Linked DNA regions of Sus scrofa. The protein of the gene in region 2 binds, or shares a complex with, the protein of the main gene of each other region. Links are inferred from orthologs where the notes say so. Each region holds a gene or a part of one and is shown on either strand. Other genes may lie near its edges. The genes, in order: CMC1, cytochrome c oxidase assembly factor 1 homolog, NDUFAF1, ACAD9, surfeit locus protein 1, SMIM20 and ECSIT.

Evidence for each region.
Region 1: cytochrome c oxidase assembly factor 1 homolog (region 2) and CMC1 share a complex: the UniProt entries of both Homo sapiens proteins name them as parts of the MITRAC (mitochondrial translation regulation assembly intermediate of cytochrome c oxidase complex) complex. The link is inferred for Sus scrofa from reciprocal best matches to the Homo sapiens genes COA1 and CMC1.
Region 3: cytochrome c oxidase assembly factor 1 homolog (region 2) and NDUFAF1 share a complex: the UniProt entries of both Homo sapiens proteins name them as parts of the mitochondrial complex. The link is inferred for Sus scrofa from reciprocal best matches to the Homo sapiens genes COA1 and NDUFAF1.
Region 4: cytochrome c oxidase assembly factor 1 homolog (region 2) and ACAD9 share a complex: the UniProt entries of both Homo sapiens proteins name them as parts of the mitochondrial complex. The link is inferred for Sus scrofa from reciprocal best matches to the Homo sapiens genes COA1 and ACAD9.
Region 5: cytochrome c oxidase assembly factor 1 homolog (region 2) and surfeit locus protein 1 share a complex: the UniProt entries of both Homo sapiens proteins name them as parts of the MITRAC (mitochondrial translation regulation assembly intermediate of cytochrome c oxidase complex) complex. The link is inferred for Sus scrofa from reciprocal best matches to the Homo sapiens genes COA1 and SURF1.
Region 6: cytochrome c oxidase assembly factor 1 homolog (region 2) and SMIM20 share a complex: the UniProt entries of both Homo sapiens proteins name them as parts of the MITRAC (mitochondrial translation regulation assembly intermediate of cytochrome c oxidase complex) complex. The link is inferred for Sus scrofa from reciprocal best matches to the Homo sapiens genes COA1 and SMIM20.
Region 7: cytochrome c oxidase assembly factor 1 homolog (region 2) and ECSIT share a complex: the UniProt entries of both Homo sapiens proteins name them as parts of the mitochondrial complex. The link is inferred for Sus scrofa from reciprocal best matches to the Homo sapiens genes COA1 and ECSIT.

Annotation. Positions count from the first base shown.
Region 1 is NC_010455.5:14,680,844-14,685,057, forward strand, and holds the start of CMC1 (COX assembly mitochondrial protein homolog), read left to right. Parts: upstream 1-1,414; 5' UTR 1,415-1,583; coding exon 1,584-1,602; intron 1,603-1,735; exon of another isoform or gene 1,736-1,923; intron 1,924-4,214. UniProt on the Homo sapiens protein: Component of the MITRAC (mitochondrial translation regulation assembly intermediate of cytochrome c oxidase complex) complex, that regulates cytochrome c oxidase assembly.
Region 2 is NC_010460.4:51,219,337-51,223,558, reverse strand, and holds the start of cytochrome c oxidase assembly factor 1 homolog, read right to left. Parts: upstream 2,801-4,222; 5' UTR 2,580-2,800; intron 1-2,579. UniProt on the Homo sapiens protein: Component of the MITRAC (mitochondrial translation regulation assembly intermediate of cytochrome c oxidase complex) complex, that regulates cytochrome c oxidase assembly.
Region 3 is NC_010443.5:129,967,279-129,971,279, reverse strand, and holds the start of NDUFAF1 (complex I intermediate-associated protein 30, mitochondrial), read right to left. Parts: upstream 2,801-4,001; 5' UTR 2,659-2,800; intron 1-2,658. UniProt on the Homo sapiens protein: As part of the MCIA complex, involved in the assembly of the mitochondrial complex I.
Region 4 is NC_010455.5:71,405,937-71,409,436, reverse strand, and holds part of ACAD9 (acyl-CoA dehydrogenase family member 9, mitochondrial), read right to left. Parts: intron 3,321-3,500; coding exon 3,214-3,320; intron 2,426-3,213; coding exon 2,325-2,425; intron 1,606-2,324; coding exon 1,527-1,605; intron 1-1,526. UniProt on the Homo sapiens protein: As part of the MCIA complex, primarily participates in the assembly of the mitochondrial complex I and therefore plays a role in oxidative phosphorylation.
Region 5 is NC_010443.5:272,967,687-272,971,805, forward strand, and holds the start of surfeit locus protein 1, read right to left. Parts: upstream 2,801-4,119; 5' UTR 2,786-2,800; coding exon 2,714-2,785; intron 2,622-2,713; coding exon 2,570-2,621; exon of another isoform or gene 2,380-2,569; coding exon of another isoform or gene 2,295-2,379; intron 1,715-2,294; coding exon 1,581-1,714; intron 1,497-1,580; coding exon 1,414-1,496; intron 264-1,413; coding exon 72-263; intron 1-71. Other genes in the region: SURF2 (surfeit locus protein 2), read left to right, coding at 2,904-2,981, 3,067-3,221, 4,048-4,119. UniProt on the Homo sapiens protein: Component of the MITRAC (mitochondrial translation regulation assembly intermediate of cytochrome c oxidase complex) complex, that regulates cytochrome c oxidase assembly.
Region 6 is NC_010450.4:19,699,703-19,703,841, forward strand, and holds the start of SMIM20 (small integral membrane protein 20), read left to right. Parts: upstream 1-1,339; 5' UTR 1,340-1,456; coding exon 1,457-1,565; intron 1,566-4,139.
Region 7 is NC_010444.4:70,157,563-70,160,762, reverse strand, and holds part of ECSIT (evolutionarily conserved signaling intermediate in Toll pathway, mitochondrial), read left to right. Parts: intron 1-1,982; coding exon 1,983-2,400; intron 2,401-2,631; coding exon 2,632-2,855; intron 2,856-3,200.

The DNA.
Region 1 (4,214 bases), on a different chromosome or scaffold from region 2:
GTCATTCATGGCAACACTGTGGAGGCAGTCCTGAAACAGTGTTAGATAATATTGCATTTATTTCTCACAACAACCTCATGAATTAGAAATGAAAGTCCAGAGAAACATTGAAGCTTATCCAAGTTAGAAAGCTAATAGGTCATGAAGCAAGATTTAAGTGGAGGTGCCTAGGTCTCTGCAAGTTTCTGCATTTCCCATGTTGCCCTTTTGATGAGGAAGATTGAGTTTAATTACTTGTGTGTGTATGACGTGTTCTTATACCTCACCTCATCACCTCAAAAAGATTTACTTTCTAGATTAAATCTTTTGCCTCCAGAATGAATCTGGTGTGTTTCTAAACACATTTATAAAACATACAGGGAACAGGACCTGATTTCCTGCCTGGCTGAGTGAAACATTAATTCCATCTTGGCGCCTCATCCTACAGCTGTAATAAGGGCCGTTATGCCCAAATAGGCCCTTAAACGGAAGACCTGCTGAGCAGAGACCCACTTTCCCAGCCCTGCTCCGCAGCGTCAGCTTCTCTGCCAACTGACCAGGAGGAAGCAGCAGCAGGGGAGGAGGGCCTGCAGGTAGGTGGGGACGGGATCACTTTGAAAGCCTCAAAGCCCTAACTGCGAAGCAGCAGCTGCTCCTTGTTTTTCTAACATCTGTCCCATCTGTGCCCTTGCGCACCTGACCCTCCAGAGGCTCGGGCTAGCTCAACGTGGATGTGACAAGGGAGCATTTCTGGAGGCTGGCTGGTGAGTGGATATGAGCTTACTTACTACCCAGAAAGTTTCTTCTACTGGGAAGAGGGCAGTTGGGGCTCTTGAGGAGGATGTCTATCGCTTCCTTCATTTTGCTCGCATATACAGCTTTGATGGACCGAGTGGGGATTTGCAGCATCACCCAAATGGGACTACACGTCATGAAGATGTTATTTCACCAGACAGAGGTATCCTAGCGCTCACTTTCTAAGTGTAACCTCCAGGGAAGGCGCAGGCTTCGATCCGGAGAGAAGTAAGGATGCAGCACTCAGTACACGGGTGCTTGCTGCACAAGTCGTCAGGGCGTATTGCTTATTTCTGGGTCCCTCACCAACACTGTGCGTCTGGAGACTTAGGGACCTTACTTTTACCCAGTTATTTCCTCCTTGTATTCAGAACCGTGGCTGGAACCTAGCAGGCATGAAATACATACTTATGAATGAATGAACTTTAAAGAGGAAAAATGAAGGAGCCGGCAGGTTCGTTCGGTTCGGAGGCAGGCTTGGAGGGAGGGGCTTAAACTTGTACGGAGCCACCCAGAGAAGCGCGAGTCCTCAGGCCCCGAGCGCGCCTGCGCCTTCCAAGACGGCCACGCCCCCTCCCAGGGCTATCGCTCGGTGAAGTCCGCCCACTCTGGTTACCGGGTTGTGGGTGGTGTCAGGACGGTGCAGGCGCAATGAGCGGCGGAAGTAGTTACTGGGAAGTAAGCAAGCGGCAGTTTCCCTTGGCGTAAGGCTCCTCCTCCCGCCGCGGGTTGCTTCACTGCACGTGTGCCCGGGCTCCGCCCCACACTGCCAGTGCTTTGGCCGCTTGGGCGCCTCCTCCCGCGCAGAGATGGCGCACGACCCCGCAGGTACGGGGTGGGAGGCGGGGGTTGCCGAGCCGCGGCTGGCGTGTGGCGGGCTGGGGGCGGGGGTCGAGCTGGGGGAGGCGCGGCGCCCCGGCGGCCCCGCCCCGCCGCGCCCGGGCGCCTGGCTCCGCGGCCCTAGGGCTATGGTTCGGGGAGCGGCGCTGTTTGGCGTCGATCCTCTTTTCCGATTGTAGCTTGCAGATAGTTTTCTTCTGGACACCTGTCCTCTTTTCGCCCATTTCAAGTATCTGTAGTCCAACCTAACATCATTGATCGGAGCGAGTGCCAGCTTGTTTGGAAAACGCCCCCCAAGCCCCGCTCTTTGTGAGTTTGACTTTCGTGCGTACCCCTAGGGCAGTTTGTATCCGTGTTGTCTGCCCCTCGGCATCTCAGTTTAGAGGGTACCCAGAGCTGCGTGTCTAGAGGGAATGGTGATTAGCTTTAGATCATTCCCTTCACTCTGGATGTGAAAAGTCCAGCCAGTGGGAGGAGGAATGACCTCAAACATTTGGAGACTCAGAAATGACAATCACTTTAGTGAGCTCAAGGAGAAGGAGATAATCGTGTAGCTGACGAGGCTCGTGGCTGATTGCTGGTGCGGCAGAGTCTGCATAGAACTCAGTCCATTTCAGTGCATTTCCCGTCTGGGTGGTAGACCATGCCGCCTTTACGTCCTTATGGATGAAACAGATACTTGTTGCGTGCACACGGTATGTCCTTCCTGTTCTAGGCCCTAGGAGTCTGGTATATAGGGCAAAGGATCCCTGCTCTATCTAGAGCTTGTATTCTAGTTGTAGAAGAAAGAAGACCACCCACAGTACTTTTATAGATTGTGATAAACATTATGAAGAAAATAAGCAGTGACATAGGTAGATGGTCAAGAAATGGTTAAGAAAGGACGACTTAAGGTGGAATGGTCAGTGAAGAACTCTAGGAGGAAGTGTCAAGTGAATTGGAATCTGAAGGACTATGGGAAGCAGTCCTGTAGAGGTAATGGAAAAGCATACAGCTGGGCCGAGGTGCAAATGCTTAAACGATGTGATTGAATCATTTCTATCAGAGTGGAGGAGATCCATAAGGAGAGATGTTGGGAACGTACACAGAACCTAGATGCTGCACGGCCTGAAGGCCGTATTGGAAAGCATTAGGATTTTTCCTGATGTTATCAAAGGCCTCTGGAGGCTTTTAAAGAAGGTGGTGCCGTAATATGATTTATACCTTTCCAACCCCCTCAGCAGTTGGTAGCATTGTGGAGCGGGTTTGAGCAGAAGATTAGGAGTGGTAGCAGTAGCCCAAACAAACCCATTGGTATATAGGTCTGGGTTGTTATTAGGAAAAAAAATGGAAAGAAATATGAAGCATCAGGAGATGTTTTGGAGGAGAAATTAACAGGACTTACTGTTGGTTGAATAAGGGTGGTGAGGGAGAGAAGCCTGAAGGGTAATTCCTAGGCTAGTTACTTCAGGTGGGTGGCCTGTGATGGTCAAATCTAACATGATGATCACTGGAAACTTCAATAAAAGCAGGGATGGAAACAAGATTGAAATGGAAAGTAAGAAAGTAGAGTCCGCCAGTAGGAAGATTCAAAAAAATTTTTTGTGTGTTTTAAATTCCAGAATACAAATGTATTGATATCAGCTGCTTTTTTTTTTTTAACTTTGTTTTCGTTTGGTTCATGCTTTGATATTTCTTTTGCTTTTCACAGTCCACAGTGGTATATGCCCATACCAAGTAGAAGTATTTCCAAGTAGATGAATAGATAGTTAGGCCAAATGAAGTTTGTGTAGTAAAATCTGTTTCTCATTGGTTTGTGTTAGATTTTTAAAAATATTTGTACAGGAGTTCCTGTCATGGCGCAGTGGTAAACAAATCTGACTGGGAACCATGAGGTTGTGGGTTCGATCCCTGCCCTTGCTCAGTGGGTTAAGGATCCTGCGTTGCCGTGAGCTGTGGTGTAGGTCCCAGACGCGGCTTGGATCCCGCGTTGCTGTGGCTCTGATGTAGGCTGGCAACTACAGCTCCGATTCGACCCCTAGCCTGGGAACATCCATATGCCGCGGGAGCGGCCCAAGAAATGACAAAAAGACAAAAAAAAAAAAAAAATTTGTACAAGTTTGGTCTTCATTTGGCAGCAGCTTTTAACTAGCTTTGTAGGGTCTATTTTTCTTAAGAAACTTTGCATTACTTTTGTATGTAGTTGTATTGAAATAATTTTCTGTTTTGTTAATGTAGAAGTAATAACAGCGCTCCTTGTAAGCTTATCAGCCATAATTTTATCACTATTTTACCTGACAATTTGAATGTAGAGAGAAAGAGCTGGAGAGTCCAACAAAACACACAGGAAAAGTGTCTGAAGAGAGAGATAAATTATGAAAAAGAAAAAAATGAGGGAGTTCCCATTGTGGCTCAGTGGTAACATACCCAACTAGTATTCATGAGGACACAGGTTTGATCCCTGCCCTTGCTCAGTGGGTTAAGGATCAGGTGTTGCCGTGAGCTGTGGTAGGTTGCTGTGGTTGTAGGCCAGCAGCTGTAGCTCCAACTTGACCTTTAGCCTGAAAACCTCCATATACCGAAGGTGCAGCCCCAAGAAGCAAAAGAAAAGAAAATGCTAG
Region 2 (4,222 bases):
TTTAACAGGCAGATAGACTGCAAATATTCACCCCAAATCTAACAAAGGGTTAATACCTCTATAGGAAGAACTCCTACAGATCAACAAGGCAAAGACAACACTCAATCAAGAATTAACAAATTATATAAACTCTTCCCCCTGCTTCATTCCAAATCTTAAAATGCTGCTCACAGGTTCTTCACACTTTGCTGGGCCTGGTCTTGCACACACAGCAGCTTAGTTCAACTCACTCTGAATTACCCACTGACCTCTAACATGTCTCCAGAAGAGTGGTAATTAATCTCATGTGCTTTCTATCTAAAGGAACCACTCCACAAGACTGTCATATATATAAGGGACTTGTATCTAGAGTATATATGGAAATCTTACGACTCAGTGATAAAAAGCAAGCAGCCTAATTTTTAAATGGACAAATGATATGAACAGACATTTCTCCAAAGAAGACACAGAAATGGCCAGCAGCACATGAAAAGATGCTCAACATCGTTAACCACCAGGAAAATGCAAATCAAAATTGCAACAAGATACCAATTCCTACCCACCAGGACGGCTAGAACTGAAAACACAAAACCAAAGAACAGATAATGACAAGTATTGGCAAGGACCTGAAAAAGTCAGAGAAGATTCATACACTGCTGACAGGAACATAAAACAGTGCAGCTCCTTTAAAAACCAGTTTGGAAGTTCCTTAAAATGTTAAACACAGAGTTACCATGAGACCCAGCAATTCCCTTAGCTATATACCAAGAGAAATTAAATCATGATGATGACACAAAAACTTGTACACATAAATGTTCACAGCAGCGTTATTCATAACAGCCAGAACAACCCAAATGTCCATAACTGACCAATGGATAAATGGTGGTATATCCATACAATGAAATATTACCTAGCAATAAAAAAGGAATGAAGTGCTGATACATGCTATAACATGGATGAACATGATTGTTAAAAGTGAAAAAAGACAATCAAGAAAGACCACATAGTTTACAATTTCATTGTATGAAATGTTCAGAATAGGCAAATATATACACCCAGTAGATCAGTAGCCCCTTAGGGCTAAGAGTGGGGAGGAGTGGGAGTGAGTAAGGAGGAAATCATGAGACTGCTAATGGGCACAGGGCTTGTTCTGGGGGTGATAAAAACTTTTCAAAATTGATCGTGGTATTGCTTGTACAAATTTGTGAATGCACGAAAAACCAAAGTATATTGTAAAGTTCTAGGTATGTGACCTATATCTCAATCTGGTTTGTTTTTTTGTTTTTCCCCAAAAAGACTGTAGCTTGGGGAGTTCTCATTGTGGCACAGCAGAAATGAATCCGACTAGTATCCATGAGGATGCAGGTTGGATCCTTGGCCTCGATCAGTGGGTCGGGATCTGGCATTGCCAGGAGCTGTGGTACAAGTCACAGATGCAGCTCAGATATGGTGTTGCTGTGGCTATGGCGTAGTCTGGCAGCTGTAGCTTGGATTCAACCCCTAGTCTGGGAACTTTCATATGCCACACTTTCGGCCCTAAAAAGCAAAAAAAGAAAAAGCAAAAAAAAAAAAAAAAAGACTGGATTGGGGTGTGCTTTTGTTTTTTTTTCCCATTATATCCTCAGCTCCTAAAACAGTGCCTGGCAATATCAGGGTTCAATAAATTCTGACTGAATAGAAAAATAAATTTCCAAATGTGGGTAAATCATTATAAAACTGTCATATCCAAAGAGACGAAATGACTGCAGGTTGGCATGCGGCGGGGGTGGTATACAGGGTGTTTGTGTGTTTGGTGAAAGGAGATAAGACCGAAAAATTCATCAGAAGCAAGGCCCTGCAGGGTCTTGAAGCCAGCCTAAGGAATTTCTATTATCCTCAATCAATGGGGAGGCCAGTAAGACTTTAAGCAGAGGATGAACACAGATCTGTGTTTTAAATGTATAAAGTCTAAGTAAAGAGTTGCTATTTTTAATAAAAGGGAAGCGGAGCAGTACTCAGGTGAGAATGAGGAGGAATTAGGGGAAGACGGAAAAAAAAAAAAAAGGAAATTTCAAAATATAAGAATCTTTGTGAATTTTAAAATTCCTCTCTCTCACACACACATACATACACACACACCTGAAACTCACTTACACTGAAACTCACTTCTATGGTCAGCCCCCGTGTGGGGCTCAAACGTGACGGGGCCAAAAGGTATTATGACCACTGAGCCAAACAGCTCTTTTCTACAGCCATCTAGGCAGGGTCCTCCTCTGGCTGCTGCAAACTGGGGCCACGGACAAAGGGCCCAGGTCCACTTCTTTACAAATGTGCTCCCGGGAACGCTCAACGAAACCCCAGGGCAAGACCACGGTGAGACACACAGGAGGGGGCACCTTACAGCGTCGCGAGGAGCTGAGCCCACCAGGGCCCCGCAGGTGCCAACCTTGCAACGGAGGGAGGTCGAGGCCGGTGACAACCCGGAGGTGACCCCGGAGGGGACTCCCCTGGCCACAGCCCACCCGGGACGCGGTCGCGGCCCCCGGCGCTGCAGGAACACCCACTCCTGGGGCGGCCGAGACCCGACTCCCTCCGCGGGCAGTGCCAGCCTCCCGGCTTACCACGCCGCCGCGGAGAGCGGGAGGGCTCCTCCCGGACGTCCGGTGGGAGCCGCGGGGCGGGGGGAGCGCGGAGGCCGGCGGGCGGCCCCGCCCCGCGGAGAGCAGTCGAGACTTCCGGCGTCGCCTCCCCGTGGGCTAGAGCGTCGGGACGAGCCCGCCGCTGGCGGACCCCGGACCCGGGCGAGCGAGGTGCAGGTTGGTGCCTGGCGTCTCTGCAGGTGGACCCGCGCCGGGAGGGGACTTGTCTCCTCAGATCCCCGCTTTTTGTTTTCTGCGCGCCATGAGCCCTCAACACACATTCAGTCCCGCAGTGGCTGCCGAGGAAATTTAAACCTCTGGTTCACGTTGCTCCTCGCAGGGATCGGCGCTTGGGTTCACATCCAAGGATGCAGAACCACGGGCCATCTGAGCCCCATTCTAGCCCTCAAGTCCATCTTGCCCCATTTGGCGGAGAAATTTGGCAAAAAAATTTTTTTTAATTCACCAAATATTTATGAACTGCTTACTGTGCTCCAGGGAATGCAGTGCTAAGAAAAAAATGTAGTGGTCTTTGCTCTCGGATTTTAGTAGTACGATAATAATAATTTACTTAATAGATTTCTCATAAGGATGGATATATAGTTTTTGTTTTTTGCTTTTTAGGCCCACACACATGGACATCCCCAGGCTAGGGGTGGAACTGGAGCTGCAGCTGCCGGTCTACACCACAGCCACAGCAAGGCCGGATCCAAGCCTCCTCTGTGGCCGACACCACAGCTCAAGGCAATGCCAGATCCATAACCCACTAAGCCAGGCCAAGGATGGAACCCACATCCTCATGGATACTAGTCGGGTTCATTACCACTGAGCCCCAACGGGAACTCCTCTTATCACAATATAAACCACTCAGAATAGTCTGGCATTTTGTTAAAGTGTTCAATAAAGGCCAGTTACCTTATTTTCATCTTGACCATTCCATTGTCCTCACTGCTATGCATGATTACTTTTTTAACGTTAAGCGTGAAGTCCCAGTGTTACCCGCCTGAGTCCCTAGACTCTAATCAACAGAAATTGCTAAGAGGCCAAAAATTCCAAGCAAGACTATAAGGAAAATAAGAAACAGGTGCCCTTGCTCGCTGTTTGAGTCCTTAAATGAGTTAACAAGAGAGGCCCCGTCCATGAATTGAGCAGGAGGCATAGCTGAAATGGTCTGCCCACTTCTTTGGTGGTACTTTGTGCAGGGATCATGTGCAGTCCACTGCTTTTGGTCCTGGCACCCCTGAACCAGTAGTTGGGCTTTGGCCTCTTTATATCTTTTGGTTCATAATTGCCCCCAACTGCCACATGCATGCAATTATTTTTAGTCCCTTATAGTTTTCTTCCTGGTCTTGGAAGAGTTATTTGTTCAGGTGCAAGCACTCTGGTAAAGGGTCCCAGGTTCCAGTCTACCACCCAAGTACCTTTCCTCCACAAAGCAGTGAGTCTCAGGTGAGTCACCTAGATTTGATGTGTTCCATAACCAGACTAATTAAGGGCAGTCTAAAGCAATGGTCTTCAAACTCTTGATCACATTCCCATCAGAAAAGAAAATTTGACTATAAACATATACTATGTATGATATAGATACATATTATGCATGCTATAAAAACTTCCGCAAGAAATAG
Region 3 (4,001 bases), on a different chromosome or scaffold from region 2:
TTTTTTTTTTTTTTTGTCTTTTTAGGGCTGTATCTGTGGCACATACAGGTTCCCAGGCTAGGGGTCAAATTGGAGCTGTTGCCACCAGCCTACGCCAGAGCCACAGCAACGCAGGATCCAAGCCATGTCTGCAACCTACACCACAGCTCATGGCAACACCAGATCCTTAACCCACTATGTGAGGCCAGGGACTGAACCCGCAACCTCATGGTTCCTAGTTGGATTTGTTAACCACTGAGCCAGGATGGGAACTCCACCTGCCTCTTGTCTGTAGAAAAACTGTACCTTCCTGGGCCTCCCCTGAATTCCAAAGAGTAAATTTAATCAGGGAAGTAAGAAAATGCAGGAAAAAAGGGAGTTGAGCAAGACAAAATAATAATAATTTAGCCATTAAACAAAGTCACAGACATGGCTTGGATCCCACGTTGCTGTGGCCAGTGCATAGGCTGGCAGCTGCAGTTCCAATCTGACCCCTAGCCAGGGAACTTCCATATGCTTCAGGCACAGCCCTAAAGAAGCAAAAAAAAAAAAAAAAAAAAAAACCACACAAAGTCAAAGACCTTTAGTTCCTCCTCAAGGGTTATAGATAATATTATGAGCCATGCCCTCTGAGCTGTTTTTGCAGATACCGAAACCCCTACCATGTAGAAGTTATCTGCCTACAAGCAGGTAGACCCCAGATAGGTTGGCGACAGGTTAATGATGTTGACTCCAGATTACCTCGCTACCAACCAATCAGAAGAATGTCCACAGCTGATCACATACCCTGAAAGCCTTCCAGGAGTTAAAACCTTCCCCTGAAAGCCTTCTAGGAGTTCTGAACTTTTAAGCACTGGCTGTACTGGACTCTTGGTGCCTGCAATAAATGCTGCACTTGCCTTCACCACGACCCAGTGTCAGTAGATTGGCTTTACTACACTGGGGCAAACAGACCCAAGTTTGGTCAGTAACAACTACAGGAATAGTAAACCCAACTTGTTCAACTATAGGCATGTTCCTAGTGGCCTCTAACTGGAGGACACTGACATTGATCTTCCTTGATATTCTCATGAGAAACTGTGCATACATCTCACAGCCCTTACATACTATTAGGATCTTGCTTTTATCTGTCTACCTAACTAACCTGACCTTAAGCTTACTGACTATGGCTTGAACATAATTGATGCTCAATGTTTGCTAAAATAAAAGGAAAATGTGGGTGTTCTCATCGTGGCTCAGTGGTACCCAACTAGTACCCATGAAGACTCAGGTTCAATGCCTGGCCTTGTTTAATGGGGAAAGGATCTGGCGTTGCTGAGAGCTGTAGTGTAGGCTGCAGACGCAGCTTGAATCTGGCATTGCTATGGGCGTAGTGTAGGCCAGCAGCTGCAACTCAGATTCCACCCCAGCCTGGGAACTTTCATATGCTGCACCCGCGGCCCAAAAATAAATAAACAAATGAAAATGTGTGAACAGTATGTTTTCAAATGGACCAAAAATTGCAGGGAACCAGGAAAAATAACAAGAGTTGACCTCAGGTCTTGGAATCATAGGTAATACTTAAATTTCCCTTACTGACTTGTTCAAATGATTTTCTCTCTCCACACACAAAAATTTGGGAAATAAGTGATAAAATGGAATTTGTACAATCAAAAAATGATTCTCAGAGTTCCTCCATGTCACAGCAGCTTAAGGATCTGGCCGTTGTCACTGCAGTCTGCTGTGGCTTGGTTCCATTCCTAGCCCAGGAACTGCTACATGCTTCAGGTGCAGAAAAAAACACCAAAAAAAAAAAGATTCTCATGAACACCATGCTTAGGCTACACTACTGAGTGACAAATAATGAGGAATTAAAAATGCATGTATACTGGAGTTCCCTTCGGTGGCTCAGAAGTTAACAAACCCTACTAGGATACATGAGGATTCAGGTTCCATCCCTGGCCTCACTCAGTGGGTTAAGGATCCAGCATTGCTGTGAGCTGTGGTGTAGGTCACAGACTCGGCTAGTATCTAGTGTTGCTATGGCTGTTGCATAGGCCAGCAGCTGTAGCTCGGGTTCCACCCCTAGCCTGGGAACTTCCATTCGCTGCGGGTGCAGCCCTAAAAAAGAAAAAGGGGAAGAAAAAAAAAAAAGCATATACGGTAACGATATAAGTATAAAAATGTAAATGTACAAACAAAAAAGATTTGGGGGTTAAAAAAAGGCTTACAGCCATGTGCAGGGTGATGGAATTATGAGTACCATTATTCACCCTATTTTCCAACCCCTCAGTAGTGTTATTACTTCTCTAATAATATAACGTTAGTTATGAATATTTTGTTTCATATTTTTACCAATAAACATAGTCAAAATCACTAACTGGATGATCCTGGGCTGAAGCTGGTGAGTTTTCATGGCAGCATAAACCATGAAGCTAAAAGCAAGCAATCTTACTGAAGACTGTATGTCCAGCGCTTACCACGTGTCAGAAACTATTCTAGGTGTACTTTAACTCCTCACAACAACCAAAAGAGGGGCTACTATTCCAATTGCAAAGATGAAAATGGAGGCTCTAAGACTAAATCACCCGAGGTATACAACTACTAAGCGGCAAACCTATCCCCAAGAGCCCCGGCGTTTAGCTCCTGATCCAAGACCGGGAGCGGTCTGGACATTGTCACGGCCCCTTCATTTCTCACCTGCTAGGGCTGTGTCGCCCTCGCAAGTCCCGACGCTGCAGCCCTCCCTCGCGACACCCCAGAGTGAACCTCCGCTGTGCTCCTGGCTTTTCCCCGCCGGCTACTCCACTTTTCCTGTGTAGGTCCATCTGCTTTTCCAGTCCGCAGGGAAACTGGGCCTTATGACACTAGAGTTCCGGTCAGGTACGCAGGTCGGGGGAAGAGTAATAAAGATCCCGAAGCTTAGCGAAATGAGGGTTATGGTCGACTAGCTTCCCAAAGGACCCGCTCCTCCTGCCCTTCCTGATCTTTTCTGCCCTATGTCAGAAAGTGGGGAGAATTTAGAGAAAATTTTCGCCTCCCCTTCCTGCTTTCCGCCTTCATGCTGCAAACTTCATCCTGTATCTTTCAAGTAGGACCCAGATATTGCTAATAACCTTGGCCCCCAAGAGCAGCAGCCCAAGAGCAGTCCACGGCCACAGAGCAGCCCAAGAGCAGTCCACGGCCACAGAGAGCTACTTCTCCTGGAATTAACCCCCAAAGAATCTTGGGAGACCCACCTGAAACTTGAACACCAACTCTCCTACCTGCCCTTCCCCAATCCTGCCCCGTGGGGTCGCCCACTCCCCAGGGTTTCGATTGTATCTTGCGCACCCCTCTGTTTAAGCACTTTCAACACTTGTATCTTAATTATTCATTCACTTCTCACTTCCTCCGCCATGCTGTGAGCTTCTTGGGTCCAGAAAGTACTCTTCTTCCTGTCCCCAGCACCTAACATAACGCTGGCAGGAATTAAGCCCTCAGCATGAATTCGAATGAATTGTAACCATTGGCTGTTAACACCGTTCTCCAGAGTACCTTCCAAGTCCTCACCAAATACAATTGCCTTTTCCAAGTTTCCTCTGTCACTCTTTTCCACTCTACACCTTTTCTGTCTTCAAATTTTTCTTTGACTTCTCCGGATTCTACTACACTTGCCTGGCTCTGCAACCTCCTTGAACTTTTTTTTTTTTTTTTTTTTTTTTTGGTCTTTTTGTCACCCACGGCATATGGAGGTTCCCAGGCTAGGGGTCAAATTGGAGCTGTTCCTGCCAGCCTATGCCAGAGGCACAGCAATGCCAGATCCGAGCCACGGCAAAGTGGGATCCTTAACCCACTGAGCGAGGCCAGGAATCGAACCCACAACCTCATGGTTCCTAATCGGATTCATTTCATCCTTAAACCACTGAGTAAGACCAGGGATCAAAACCACTATGGGAACTTGTCCTTGAGCTTTTTCTAGCTGCTTACTTTACTCTGTACTCCCACAACCTTAAATGTGGGTTTGTCTCCTAAGCCCAGCCTGTGCCTTCCTCTTTTCTAGT
Region 4 (3,500 bases), on a different chromosome or scaffold from region 2:
AGAATCATTTTTTAAATGTACAGTAGTTGCAGAGATGGGGCCACTGTGACCCATCACGATGCCATGCAGAGGTGGCGATGTAACAGAGGACACACTGTGCCAGGAGACAGGGGATGGAAGTTCAGGACTGAACTTTTACATGTTTCAAATTCCAAAAAAAAGTGAACGAAAACAAAAAACAAAACAAAACAAAGAAAAACAATCAGAGTTCCCACCGTGGCTTAAGGGTAAAGAACACAACTAGTATTCAGGAGGATGTGGGTTTGATCCCTGGCCTCAGTCAGTGGGTCAAGGATCCAGCGTTGCTGTGTGGTATAGGTCGCAGACGTGGCTCAGATCTGGCATTGCTGTGGCTGTGGCATAGGCCGCCAGCTGCAGCTCCAATATGACCCCTACCCTGGGAACTTCCATATGCCACAGGGGTGGCCCTAAGAAGCAATGTGTACCACCTCACACCTGTCAGAATGCCCATCATAACAAGTCAACAAATAACAACTGCTGGAGAGGATGTCGGGTAGAGGGAACCCTCCTACACTGCTGGTGGGAATGTAAAATGGTGCAACCACTATGGAAAACAGAATGGAGGTTCCTCAGGAAACTAAATATATAATTACCATATGACCCAGCAATCTCACTCTTGGGCATATATCCAGACAAAACTTTCCTTGAAAAAGATGCATGAACCCCTATGTTCACTGCAGCACTATTCACAATAGCCAAGACATGGAAACAACCTAAATGTCCATTGACAGATGAATGGATTAAGAAGGTATGGTACATATACACAATGGAATACTACTCAGCCATAAAAAAGAACAAAATAATACCACTTGCAGCAATATGGATGGAACCAGAGACTCATACTAAGTGAAGTCAGAAAGAGAAAGACACATACCATACGATATCACTTATACCTGGAATCTAAAATATAGCACAAATGAACCTTTCCACAGGAAAGAAACCTAGAGACTTTAGAGAACAGACTTGTGGTTGCCAAGGGGGAGGAGGAGTGGGGTGGACTGGGAATCAGGGTTAACAGATGCAAACTATTGCCTTTAGAATGGATAAGCAATGCAATCCTGCTATATAGCACTGGGAACTATATCTAGTTACTTGTGATGGAGCATGATAGAGGATAATGTGAGAAAAGGAATGTATGTGTATGTTGTGTGTGAGACTAGGTCACTTTGCTGTACAGCAGAAAATTGACAGAACACTGTAAACCAATTATAATGGGAAAAAATTGTTTAAAAAATCCATGTAATAAGAAATTTTAAAACAGACACACAAGAGCAGCTCTGGGGTGGGTGGCAGCACTGAGGCACACAGACTCTGGAGCCAAGATGGCTTGGTTCCCATCCCACCACTAAGGAGACAGGGTGATGGTGGTGACAAGACCTCTCAGCCAGTTCCTTCCCCTAAAAAGGAGCAGCACCCCACAAGGGTGACAGTTAAGGGACCCTGTGCACAGTGGAAACGGTCATGACGGCGACCCTGATGCAGTCTTGGAGGCTGTGGAGCTGTACCTTGGAGCCATTGAGGACATAGTGTTTCTTATCTTCGCTCAGTGTGGCCCTGGTCCGGATGGAGGCGGCATCACTCCCACTACGGGGCAGAAACCCATGGTTGAGGGGTAATGCTGGGAACCGAGAAGGATGGTTTCCAGCCCCAAATGGAAGGAGCTGGCAAACTTTTAAAAAAAAGGGCCAGATAATAAATATATTCAGCTTTATAGCCACAGACAATCTGTAAACAAGAGGCACATTCCAGTAAAACTTGATTTACAGCATATGGCAAGAAGGCTTTGTGAGGTCGGCAGCAGTGGTGACACTGGGGAGGTTAACCCCAGAGATGGGGCTCAAACAGGCTCGGCGCTCCTATGAGGGTGGGTGCCCGGGGCCCAGCTTCTGGGGTGGGGGACGCAGGGTGGAGGGGCCAGGTAATAGCCCTGCTGTTGGAAGCCCTGAGTTCCAGGGCAGCTGTGAGATTGTGGGCGGATCACACCATGTCCCTAAGTCTCATTTGCAGCTGTGAAGTGGGGACGATACCAACGCCCTTCATAGAGGCCTAAATGCATTACTGTAGGGAAGGGATGCTGCAAAGTACAGGAAAGCCACTGAACAGGGACTGTCAGGCCCATTATCTTGTGGGTGAAGGTCACGGGTTGGAGAAGTAAGGTAGAGAAACAGACCATGAAGAGACCCTGCAAGAAAGGCTGCTGACTCGACTCCAGGAAGCCTTCAGGGAGGGAAGACCCCGGCCACCAGCTGCTCAACCAAAGCCATGGATGGCCCCCGCCCTCTGCCCCTGCCGCCTGGGCTCACCTGGCTGGTTCCGTCAGGCAGAAGGCGGCCATGTGCTCCCCAGACGCCAGTTTGGGCAGGTACTTGGCCTTCTGCTCCTCGCTGCCAGTCATGATGATGCCCTGACAAAACACACAGGCTGCTTTCAGTGGTGGGGAGAAAGGAGCATGTGAAACACGGCCCCTTCTGGAACATGCTTCCTCCATGCAAGAGTTGACAGCTAAGAGGTGGCAACCCCTGCCCTTGGGGGGAAAATGGGGAGCTGCTGGCAAGTCTGGGGAGCTACGCTAGCAGGGAGCCCCAAGGGCACAGTCCAGGGTAGCAGCACCAGCACAGCTTCGGCACAGACTCAGGCTTTCCCAGCAGCTCTTCCACTTCCCAGCTGCGTGGCTGGGGGCCAGGGGTGCTGGAGCCACACCTGGTGCTCAGGCAGCGTCGAGAGGAGCAGCTGCACCGAGTGTGAGGCCGAGCCTGCTGCACACTCAGCTCCTCCCCACCCTGGTTACTATGTTGAGCAAAAACAATCAGAGGAATGAGCGGTGGACCCCTGGACCTCCCTGAAATGCTCCAAGCCAAGAACGGTGAGGGGAACAGGCACAATAGCAGGGGCACGAGCTCAGACCCCCGTGAGCAAATCCAGAGCTGGGTGGGGTCACTCCCAGCCCACGGTGAAGGCAGGCTCCAGTGGCATCTGACCTGGGCCTTGAAGGATGGGTCAGAGGTGATGGGGACAGAAGGTTTCAACGGAAGGACCACGTCACCGAAGGGCACTGAGCTCCAGACAGCAAGGCTGCACTTGGACACTGCCAGGCGAGGCTGCAGGACCTCGGGCCTCCCCGATCCTTGGTCAAACTGAGCAAGTCTGCTGCCCCGCCGCCAACTAGAGACTCTGGAAACCCAAACCCCTGACCTTGAGGCCGATGGCCTGGTGTGCCGCCAGGGTCACAGCGATGGAGCTGTCCAGGCTGATGATCTCGCACAACCGCGCATACATGGTGCTGGAGAGGCCCAGGCCACCTAGAGAAGAGACAGGCCAGTGCACTTAGGCTCTAGCCCCAAATTCCTCCCAGAAAAGGCAAATGGCTCTACTGAATAAAGCCAGCTCACCATTTTAAAAAATCATAATACAGAAAAGCACAAAGAAAACAAAAATTACCCATAATCTTATCTCTTGGAAAGTGCATTTTTGTGTACCTT
Region 5 (4,119 bases), on a different chromosome or scaffold from region 2:
GTTGGGGGCTGAGAAGCAAAGCCAAGGAAATGAACGCCTCACAGGCCAGTCGGCCCCTGAGCCCCACTCACCCCAGGTCAGTGCAGTGGAAGGGAGTGACAACGTGGGCGCCACTCTCGGCGGTTGACGACAGCCGGCCGGCGTCCCGGGCCTCCCGGGCCGGGTCCACCATGGTCCTTGGCATCAGGTACAGCTCCTTGGAGTGGTCAAAGTGCCCCCTGACCTTCACCGGCCTGTACTCCAGGTTTCGCAGTTCCAGTGGGCTACAGGGAGAGGAGAAACGGAGCTGGGGCCGCGCAAGGTTTGGCAGGAAGACGAACCCTTTGGATCTGCCATGAAGCCCACGGTGACTGAGGTGCCCTCTGAAGGAGGAAGCCGGGGCCTTTGATGCCACATGGGAATGTGGGTCTGGGCTGCCCAACGGAGCAAGTGTTCAGGAAAAGCTTAGAGATGGACTCCCGCATGAACGGGATAAAACACATGAGCCAAAGCCACATCCGCAAGCCAAGTGGGACCCACTGTTTGCTGTCTTGAGCGGAAAGCATTCTGATTACAGCTGTTCCTCTAGGATGGGGCTTTTATTTTTTGTTTTTTAGGGCCGCACCCGTGGCACATATAAGTTCCCAGGCTAGGGGTCATATCAGAGCCACAGCCACGTGGGATCCAAGCCTCTCCTGTGACCTAAATTACACCTCGCGGCAATGCCGGATCCTTAACCCACCAAGCAAGGCCAGGGATGGAACCCACATCCTCATGGTTACTAGTGGGACTCGCTGCTGCGGCACAACAGGAACTCTGGATGGTGCTTTTAAATGAGGGGACAGGGGAGTTCCTGTTGTGGCTCAGTGGTTAACGAATCTAAGAACCATGAGGTTGTGGGTTTGATCCCTGGCCTTGCTCAGTGGGTTAAGGATCTGGCATTGCCGTGAGCTGTGGTGTAGCTTGCAGACGCGGCTCAGATCCCGTGTTGCTGAGGCTCTGGTGTAGGCCAGCAGCTACAGATCCGCTTAGATCCCTAGCCTGGGAACCTCCATGTGCCGCGGGAGTGGCCCTAGAAATGGCAGAAAGACAAAAAATAAAAATTAAAAAAATTAAAATGAGGGGACAGGGCTGTAGACTCACTGGGCACTTTTTCAAAGTACTTCTCCTGTCAAGAGATACGTGTACCCTAGCGCTGGCTAAGAATGACTGCTATAGAGGCCATCCTCGAGGGACCCTTGCTGCACAGGGCATGGAAAAAAAGGTGAATCCCAGGTTCAAAAATTTTCCTGTGTATGTCAGGCAGTGTCACAAGGGCAGTCGAGTGACAACAGGAAGCCTAGCAGGCCCACTGATGTGAGAGCTCCCATCAGGGTCAGGAAGGCATGTGACCTCCGGCCAGCGCAGCCCTGGTGGGCAGCCACATACACTCACTCTGCGGGCAGCGGGATGGGCTCAGCCATAATCCTGGACTCCAGTTCGGCGATCAGCTTTAGCTTCCACTTCCGACGCTGGACCTACACAGACACAGAGCATTAGCTCGAGCGGGTGGCAGCAGGGTCAAGGGCTCAGGGCCAGGAGAGCCAGAGGTCAGGCTTTACCTGCCATGTCCCCAGGCCAAAGGCAGTCCCAGGAATGAGGAGTAGAAACCACTGGAGAAAGGCATCATCGTGCGCTTTTGCGGCAGTCGCTTCAGCTGAAGAGCTGCCACTCCTGCTGGGCCTCCAGGCCAGCCCTAGGAGATGTCACAACATGGGCATGGGGCTAGAGGCCTGGGACAAAGAAGTGGAGGCTCCGAGTTCTCAAAACTGCCACTATTGCCAAAGAGAACATGGGCCGGGAGGAGGGCACAGGCCACCGTGTGCAGTCAGGAGCCAACCAGCAGCCCAGCCCTGCCCCTACCCAGTACCCGGGCCTTGACCCCCACTCAGCGGACGTTCACTGACGAGGAGATCTAGCATTCAGTCCTGGCTCTGCCACCAACCATGACCCTGACCGATTCACATAACCAACCCGTGCCTTTCGCACAAGAACCCGCTAAGATGCATCCTATCACGCCGACCACACAGGTCCACCAGCCACAGTGCTCTGAAGAGAGCGTGAAACACTCAGGACAGTGGTTTACAGAGCTCTCAGCATTTAAACCTCGAAAAAGGTACACAGAAAGTGCCTTTAGACACTCAGCGGGCGAGTGCCGTCAACGGAAAGCATCATGGGTTTGGGGCCGCTAAACAAGCTGGTCTGGAGCAGGCTTGCGACCTTTAAATGTGCACCGCACTCCACACACACACACACACGATTGCCCTTTGCTGTACCCGGGAGGCAACGTGCAAACCGTCGCGACTGGTTGTGCTTTTCTTCAGGATCCCGGACGGTTTCAGCCTTGGGCTGGCCCCGCATTAGTCCGAGGAGGTGTCTGGGCAACTACCGCACGTCTTCCGCCGAGGGCGTCGGACTGCCGCATGGGACGGGCCGGCGCGTGGCCAGGGCCTGTCCCCGAGGCGCAGGAGGCAGTTCCAGGGTTCATCGTGACCCCATGACCCCTGGCAAAGTGCAGGGCAGCTTTCCCAGGTGCCAAACGACTCCTCACCTGGGCGCGAGATGACCCCAAGGACGCTCCTCCCGACGGCGCGGGCCGGGGCCTGCGGAGACGCGAGGGGCCGGCTGAGCTCGTCCAGTCCGGGCGCGCCCCCCAGCCGGGCCGCCCCCCGCCCGGGCTCCCCGCCCCGCTCACCCGCCCCGCGCCCGCGGCGCGGAGCACCTGCGCCAGCCCCGCCGCACGCAGCCCCAGCCACCGCGCCGCCATCGCCCCGCGCGCGCGCGCTTCCGGCGCCCGGAGGCGTCTGCTTCCGGGGCCCGCCCGGCCCCGCCCCCGGCCCACGTGGTCCAGCGGCGCTCAGCTGCGGGTCCGCGCGCGTGGGACCATGAGCGAGCCGCCGGCCGAAGTGGTCGCCTTCCTGCGCGAGCACCCGAGTCTGCGGCTGGAGCCCGGCGCCCTCAAGGTGGGCGGCGGGATCGGGACCCCCAGACCGCCCCCGGGACCCCGGCTGCCCGGCCTCCCTGACCGCCCCGCTCTCCCGCCGGCAGGTGAGGTGCGCTCTGACGGGTCATGAGCTGCCTTGCCGCCTGCCCGAGCTCCAAGTCTACACCCGCGGCAAGAAGTACCGGCGGCTGGTGCGTGCCTCCCCGGCCTTCGACTACGCCGAGTTCGAGCCGCACATCGTGCCCAGCACCAAGAACCCGTACGAGCCGGAGGCGGGGCGGGCCCTGCCCGGGAGGCCCGGGGTGGGACAGTTCCTAGTGCTGAGTCTGGCTAGGGCCGGGTAGACTCCGCAGCCCCGACCCCTCCCCGCTAGGTGGGCGCTCCTCTAAGACGCCACCAGTTCCGCGGCGCCCACCCTCCCTTGAGTTAGGGCCCCCGAGATCCAGGTGGGAATCCTGGAGCTGGGCGTCACCTGGGACCTCAGGCGAGGCCCGGTCCCCGTGCATGTTTGCTTTTTTGTAAAGATGAGGTTTGTCTCCTGGGCCTCTTTGCTTCATAGAGGGTTGGAGCGCTTGTGCTTTGTCACCTGAGGTTCGAACGCTGGCATTTTATCTTTAGTTGAAAAGAACTTTGATTTAGCTGAGAGCACCCGGTGGACAATACTAGTCTTAATGAAGAGGGCGCTGGCAGATGCTCCCACTGTCGCACACCTTCCCAGGCTATCACCAGCGCACCTCTCTCATGCTGGAGCAGTCTGGAGAGGCTGGCTCCGCCTATTGAGAGGCCACTGTCTGGGGGAGGGGTTCCCCCCCAGTTCAGAGTACAAGTGCTTGGAAGCTCTATAAGAGTCCCAAAGTTCCCTGGTGGCCTCACGGTTAAGGCTCTGGCATTGTCACTGCTGTGGCATGGCTGCAATCCCTAGGTCAGGAATTTCGCCATGCCGTGGGTGCAGCCAAAAAAAAAAGACTCCCAGTGCCCAAGCCACATGGTAGACCTCCCCCGCTCAGACTCTCCGGGGTGATTCTAAGAGCAGCCACAGTAGACAGCCACTGGTCTGGAACCTCGCTTGTGAAATGTCCCCTCAGGCACCAGCTGTTCTGCAAACTCACCCTGCGGCACATCAACAAGGCCCCAGAGCATGTGCTGAGGCACACCCG
Region 6 (4,139 bases), on a different chromosome or scaffold from region 2:
CCTCCTCTGAACTTCTGCAGCCCCCAAGACTCCATCACTCATCAGCAACAGGCTGTGTCGGGTCATTAGCTGTCTTTTTATGTATATGTCCTGTCCCTCCATCCACATGACAGGATCCTGGAGAGCAAGGGTCATGTCTTATTCATCTTTGTGTCCCCCGTGGCACTTTGCCTGATGTTTGGGGCACAGCGGACAGTCCATAAATCTGCTGACAGATTGAATACCTGATTTATATGCTTCTGGAACCACAGAGGTACATAGTAGCTTGACTCAACTACAAAACTACAAAGAAAAGAGGAAACCTGTGACCTCCACACCATTTCCGAAAGATCGTAAATCTTTTCTGCACTAAATAATGATGCTGGGGTCAAGATTTGTTCCCCAGCCCCCAGCTGCTGGTATCATTCTTATTTAAAAACGATTGAGTGAAAGCCCAGGGAATCTTAGTCTCAGCTGTCCAGTACCGCTGGGTGGGTCATATACTGACACAGCCCCCCCCCAGAAACATGAAGGATGGCAATCACAGGAAGAGGAAGCAGATCTGTCCTCAGTGGCTTCCACCCCAGGCAACAAGGCAGAGCCCCAAGGTCCCATTAGTAGAACTGGCTGCTGGCTCCCTGCCCTGCACGGATCTCTATTCCCCATCCTCATTCGTAATCCTGACATCCAACAAAGGGAAGAGGGAGAGAGGAGAGCATGGAAGATCAGAGTCAGAAAAGATTTACTTGTAGTTTGGATGTTGCAATAATATTCCTCCCAAGCTAGCCTTGGTTCAGAAGCCCCTGCTGGCCATCCAGGGTCAGGCGATTTGCATTTGTCTCTAATCCCCTCAAACCGCCCTTAAGGCCAAGCAACTTGTTTAAATCATGCAGCCAAGACAGGATTTCCTCATCTGTAAAAGATATGTGGATTAAATCAATGAGCCCTAGAGAGCATCCACCTCTTGGTGGAGTCATGAAAATCAAACCAGTGGTGGAAGAAGGAAGTTTGGTTGGTAAAGGAGGGAGTGGTAACGAGGTCAGAAGAGTGTGGGTGGAGCGGCTGAGAGGTGAACCCGGTTTAGGGCAGGGGGCGGAACTGAGATCAAGAGCAATAAAAGCTCCACTCTCCATTCTCCCAGCTGGCGCTCGCCCTCCGGAGCCAGGCAGCCAGGCGCTGCCAGGCACCGCCCGGAGGCGGTGCGTGGGGTTACACGCCTCGCCCCTTCCTCCCCTAGTCCCACCCCCGCCCCAGCCCCACCCCCTGCCCTAGCCCCACCCAGTCCTAAGCCCCGCCTTCGGTGCCACCCTTGACCCAACCTCTTCCCGCCCCTGTTCCGCCTCCTAGCCCCGCCCACAAGGCCCGGAAGCAAAAGCCGTTTCTCCACTTCCCAGCCGGGTCACGACCCAGCGGGCAGGAGCCAGGATTGCGAGAGCTCGGTGTCCTCAGCGGGTCAGCGAAGGCCCGGTTCAGAGCCATGTCCACGAATCTGCGCACCGCGCTCATTTTTGGTGGCTTCATCACCCTGATCGGCGCCGCCTTCTACCCCATCTACTTCCGGCCCCTAATGCGGCTGGAGGAGTACCGTGAGTGACCTCTGACCACCACGCGGTGCCCTGGTCCCAGTGACTCCCTCTCTTTCCCCATCCTCTCCACGTGGGGCCTTGGGCAGAGCTTGGCTCGCGAGTCAGGGAGACCTGGGTTCGAATCCTTTGTGTGCAGCTTTGTGACCGTGGACAAGTGACTCCACCTCTTGGGCCCTCACTATCTTCATCAGTAGTTATGTGTTTCTGTAGTATCTTAAAATAAAACCGTCTAGCCTCTGCTGAGACTCAAAGGCAGTCTGCACGTCGTAGGTCAACACTAAATACGAGTTAATATTCATAGCTAACATTCACTGCAGGCTTCTATGTCTCGTTAATGCACATAGGATCTTTTAATTTACACCTTTTTTTGAGGTACATGTTGCTGTCTTACAGACGGGGAAACTGAGACTCAGGTTGTGTAACATGCCCAAAGTCACACAGCTGTTAGCGGCAAGACACGTATTCCAACCCAGGCCTCTGTCTCCAGAATTTCTTCCTTGTACTGAAGCTGGGAAGGTGATATTGGGGGAGGGAGGTGGGCCCTAATTGTCCTGAACTTGCAGATGTGTTTATTGCACTTCATTTCCGCTCCCAAAGATGTCTTTGATCAGAAATGTCTCAGAGCTAAACTGTTAACCTGAGGTTTTGGGTTTTTCCTCTTCTTTCTCCTCAAATCTTCCTTCAGATTCTGCTATCTTCCTTCATTTTAAGCTGGTTACTCACATGACAATGGTGAATATCCTGGGAGTAATTTTCTTCCTTAATCATTCCAGTCCTATCATTCTAAAAGCCACACTCCCCTTCCTTGAGACCTATACCTCAGCAAGGATTAGCACTTTGATACATCTGAAACCATCTGTCAGAGAGAAAATATTAGGCATTAGAGGCTCATTTTGTTCTCCAGGAAACCTGAATCATCTAGAAGATGGAAAAGGGCCAACCTTGCCCCTTGAGAATATCAGTGGAGGCTGTGAGCTTGGTGATTTGAAGGCAAAAGTGCTGTATAAATGCTCTGACCATTACAAATGCTACAACATCTGGTTTCTGAGGCAGAGCGGTTTAAGTACACACTCAAATTTCTTGTAGCTTCTTTTCATCAGTCAAGATTGAAATGGCCTCTGCACCCTGCCTTCCAGCCTATCTATCTACGTGACCACGCGTGACCACGCGTGACCACGCGTGACCACGCGTGACCACGCGTGGGGGTAAACATGGGACCTTGGAAGCCCTGCGTTATCTCTCTGTTTTATCCCTTCTTACTTGGTCCTTGCCCCGGGCTATTGTATTATAGCCCCTAGAGTTGAAGCTGGGACAAGGGAATCTACTTTGGATCCTACTTGAAAAGTTTCAGTTCTGAAGACTAGAGCCGTACCTCTCAACTGGGGATGATTTTTGTCCCCCAGGGGACATTTAGTTCTATCGGGAGACGTTTTTGCTGGTCACAAAATGGGTGGGGTGGGTGGAGTAAGTGTGCTCCTGGCATCTAGTGTATAGAGGCCAGGGTGCTGCTAAACTCTCTGTAATGCACAGGGCAGCCCCCACCCCTTAACAAAGAATTACCCAGCCCAAGATGCGAGTGGTGCCAGTGGTGCTGGGTTGAGAAACCCTTGCTCTAGGGCAGATGATCAAGGTGGGTTTGTGCTGTGTCTCCCAATGACAGTCTTAAAGGAATAGTCCAGGGAGTTCCCATTGTGGCTCAGCTGTTTAAGAACCTAATATCCATGAGAATGAGGGTTTGATCCCTAGCCTTGCTCAGTGGATTAAGGATCCAGCATTGCCACAAGATACAGCATAGGTCGCAGGTGCAGCTCAGATCTGGCACTTGCTGTGGCTGTGCTGTAGGCTGGCAGCTGCAGCTCCAGTTCGACCCCAGCCTGAGAATTTCCATATCTGGCAGGTGCAGCCCTAAAAAAAAAAAGGCGGGATGGGGAGTAGTCCAGAGTCTATGGTTGCCTGAGTCACCTTGAGATAGACAAATGAGGCCTTTAAAGTGAACATTTAGTGCATGTGGCTCCAGTATCTGCATTTTTAACTGTAAGGCATTCTACAGCTGCCTGCTTTTCTGGTTCAATTTTAATTGATTTGAACAACTCTTATCTGAGAGTCATAACTGATTCCTTAAAAAAGTAAATAATACTAAATAGCTAATATTTATTGAAAGCTCTCTTGCAAGCACTTGATATATATTAACCCATTTGGTTTTCATAACAACCCTTTGTGGTAGCTGCTGTGTGACTAGCTCCCTGTTTTATTTTTTAATTCTATTCTATTCTACTCTACTCTAAACTATTTTATTTTTTGTCTTTTCTTTCTTTTTTTAATTTTTTTTGGTCTTTTGTCCTTTTAGGGCCGCGCCCGCAGCATATGGAGGTTCCCAGGCTAGGGGTCTGATCAGAGCTATAACTGCCGGCCTACACCGGTGCCATAGCAACGCAGGATCCGAGCCGTGTCTGCGACCTACACCACAGCTCACAGCAACGCTGGATCCTTAACCCACTGAGCGAGGCCAGGGATCGAACCCACAACCTCCTGGTTCCTAGTCGGATTCGTTAACCACTGCGCCACGATGGGAAC
Region 7 (3,200 bases), on a different chromosome or scaffold from region 2:
GGAGTTCTTATCATGGCTCAGCAGTAACAAACCCGACTAGTATCCATGAGGATGTGGGTTTGATCCCTGGCCTCATTCAGTGGGTCAAGGATTCGGCATTGCTGTGAGTCCTGGTGTAGGTCGCAGATGCATCTTGGATCTGGTGTTGCTGTGGCTGTGGTGTAGGCCAGCAGCTGCAACTCCAGTTCAACCCCTGGCCTGGGAACTTCCATATGCCACAGGTGCAGCCCTTAAAAAAAAAAAAAAAAAAGAAAAAGAAAAAGATATATTGTTGGAGTTCCTGTTGTAGCTCACAAGAAGTAAATCAAATGCATCATAGACCTGAATGTAAAATACAAGACCAGGAGTTCCCTGTTGTGGCTCAGCGGTAATGGACACAACTAGTATCCATGAGGACTTGGGTTCGACGCCTGGCCTCACTCAGTGAGTTTAGGATCCAGCGTTGCCATGACCTGTGGTGTAGGTCACAGAGCAGCCTGGGTCCTTCATTGTTGTGGCTGTGGTGTAGGCTGGCAGCTACAGCTTTGATTGACCTCTAGCCGGGGAACTTCCATATGACACATGTTTGGCCCTATAAAACAAAAAAAAAGATGTACTATTGATTCATTAATGTTGAACTCACACCAACAGCACTATAACTTGTGCCTGAGGTTACCTACCATATGTATTTTCTCTGTAGGGAACAGCAAGGCCCTTCTTGCACATAGGAACATTAGGGAGGCTTGGGGGCCTCTTTCAACAGCAAAACCACCAAAACAAAAAGACACAGAAAATGTGCACTAAATCAACCTCTAAAAGGACACTTGGAGTTCCCTGGTGGTCTAGTGGTTAAGGATCCAGTGTTGTCACTGCTGTGGCTCGGGTCACTGCTGTGATGTGGGTTCAGTCCCTGGGCTGGGAACTTATGCATGCTGTAGGTATGGCAAAAAAAAATAAATAAAATAAAAAACATAAAAGGACATTTCTTGACAGCATGGAAGCCAAAACAAGGAGGCTGAGCATTGCCTTGTTCAATCTAAGCTGGGAATGTAGGCTTTAGGCAACTTGAATTTTCTACCCCACTGTATGCATCTGCAAATAGCTGGAAAGCACCAAGACTTTTGGCTTTGGGATTATAGGTGAATTTAGCAAGTAGGCAGATTTGCAAATATGAAATAAATTTTGTCATCTTTTTCTTACACAAATGGGAACGTGCCGTACACAGTTTCGCAAAACCTTGCTTCTTTTAATGATACAGGTTAGAACTCACTCCAGGTCACACAAGACCTCCTCCTTGTGCCTACAGCAGTAGGTGCTCTTTGTCCTGATTCACTGCCATTTGCTAAATTATTTCCCTGCTAATACACATTTGGGCATTTCCACTGACCCAGTGGGAAGCACAAAAGTCATTTTGCGCAGGTGCATTTAGAGATGTCTGGGTTTTTTTTGTTTTGTTTTGTTTTTTTTCTTTTTGTCTTTTTGCCATTTCTTGGGCCGCTCCTGCAGCATATGGAGGTTCCCAGGCTAGGGGACTAATCGGAGCTGTAGCTGCCAGCCTACGCCAGAGCCACAGCAATGCAGGATCCAAGCCGCATCTGCAACCTACACCACAGCTCATGGCAACACCAGATCCTTAACCCACTGAGCAAGGCCAGGGATTGAACCCGCAACCTCATGGTTCCTCGTCGGATTCGTTAACCACTGAGCCAGGACGAGAACTCCCTAGAGATGTCTGATTTAAATACCAGGTGCAGGATTGCTGTGTCAGAGGGTGTTTGTTTGTCTTCATGGTGAATATTGCCAAATTGCCTCCAATGGAGTTTTACCATTACTGCTCACACTTTGTAGTGGGGCCTTATCTTGGCTCTGTAACCATAGCACCACACTTCCTTGGTGGCCCTTGGGGCTGCCCACTGGCACCTTTCCCAGCAAAAAAACCAGCCCAGCAGCGTCCCAGGGGCACTGGGAGGCACCAGATTCCAGCAGTGCCTCTCTGTCTGTAGGTGCCACTCCAGGCAGCACACGGCCTTCACTGCAGCACAGCCATGCACACCTTTGACTCATCGCTGGTCCCGCACCCACCCAAGCCCCCGAGGAGGCCCATCAAGGCCCTGGCACTCCACGAGGAGCTGTTTAGGAAGGCACCGGATGGGACACGGGAGAAGGCGAGCTTTGTGCAGGCCATACAGGACTTTGCGCAGTACAACGTGCACAAGCGGGGCCATGTCGACTTCATCTACCTGGCCCTGCGCAAGATGCGGGAGTATGGCGTCGAGCGGGACCTGGCTGTCTATAACCTGCTGCTTGACATCTTCCCCAAGGAGGTCTTCCGGCCTCGCAGCATCTTCCAGACCATCTTCTACCACTACCCACGGCAGCAGGAGTGCGGGATCGCTGTCCTGGAGCAGATGGAGAACCACGGTCAGGCCAATAGGCCAGCTCAGGCAGCTGGGGGTGGGGGGCTGCCTCCCTCTCCAAGGTCTCGGGCCCTCCATGGCTTTTTGGCACTAACTCCTCTCCTCCTCATCTCTCAGTCTGTCTGGCTTCCTCCCCTGCCCACCCCACCCCGATCCCTTGCTCATCCTCAGCTCCCATCTTCCCTTCTTTCTTCTGCCCCGTCCCTGAGGCTCTGCCTGCATCTGCCTGTCACAGGGGTGATGCCCAACAAGGAAACAGAGTTCCTGCTGATTCAGATATTTGGACGCAAAAGCTACCCCATGCTCAAGTATGTGCGCATGAAGCTGTGGTTCACCCGCTTCAGAAACATCAACCCCTTCCCTCTGCCCCGGGACCTTCCTCAGGACCCCGTGGACCTGGCCAGGTTGGCCTTGCGGCACATGGAGCCCGACCTCAGCGCTAGGGTCACCGTCTACCAGGTATCCACTCCTGTCCACACCCTTGGCCACCTCCCTGTAGTGGAGGCCCCCTTCGGTAACCCCAAGTGATTGTGGTGAGACAGGGGGAAGTTCCCTGGCTGAGCCTCTGCTAGATTCCAGGGCCCTCAGAACAGCCTGACCTCTGACGTCTGCTCCTGCCCCTCTCCCCACACTCACTGTATTCTGGCCCTGGCCTACCTTTCTGTGCCTTAAGCGATCTGTCAGTTCCCTCCTCAGGCGTTTGTGTTCACTGTTCCCTCTGCCAGGAACACCCTTCCCCAGGGACTTCACCTCCTCAAGTCTGAGCTATTCTTTCCCTCCCTGTCCTCCACAGAGCCAAACACT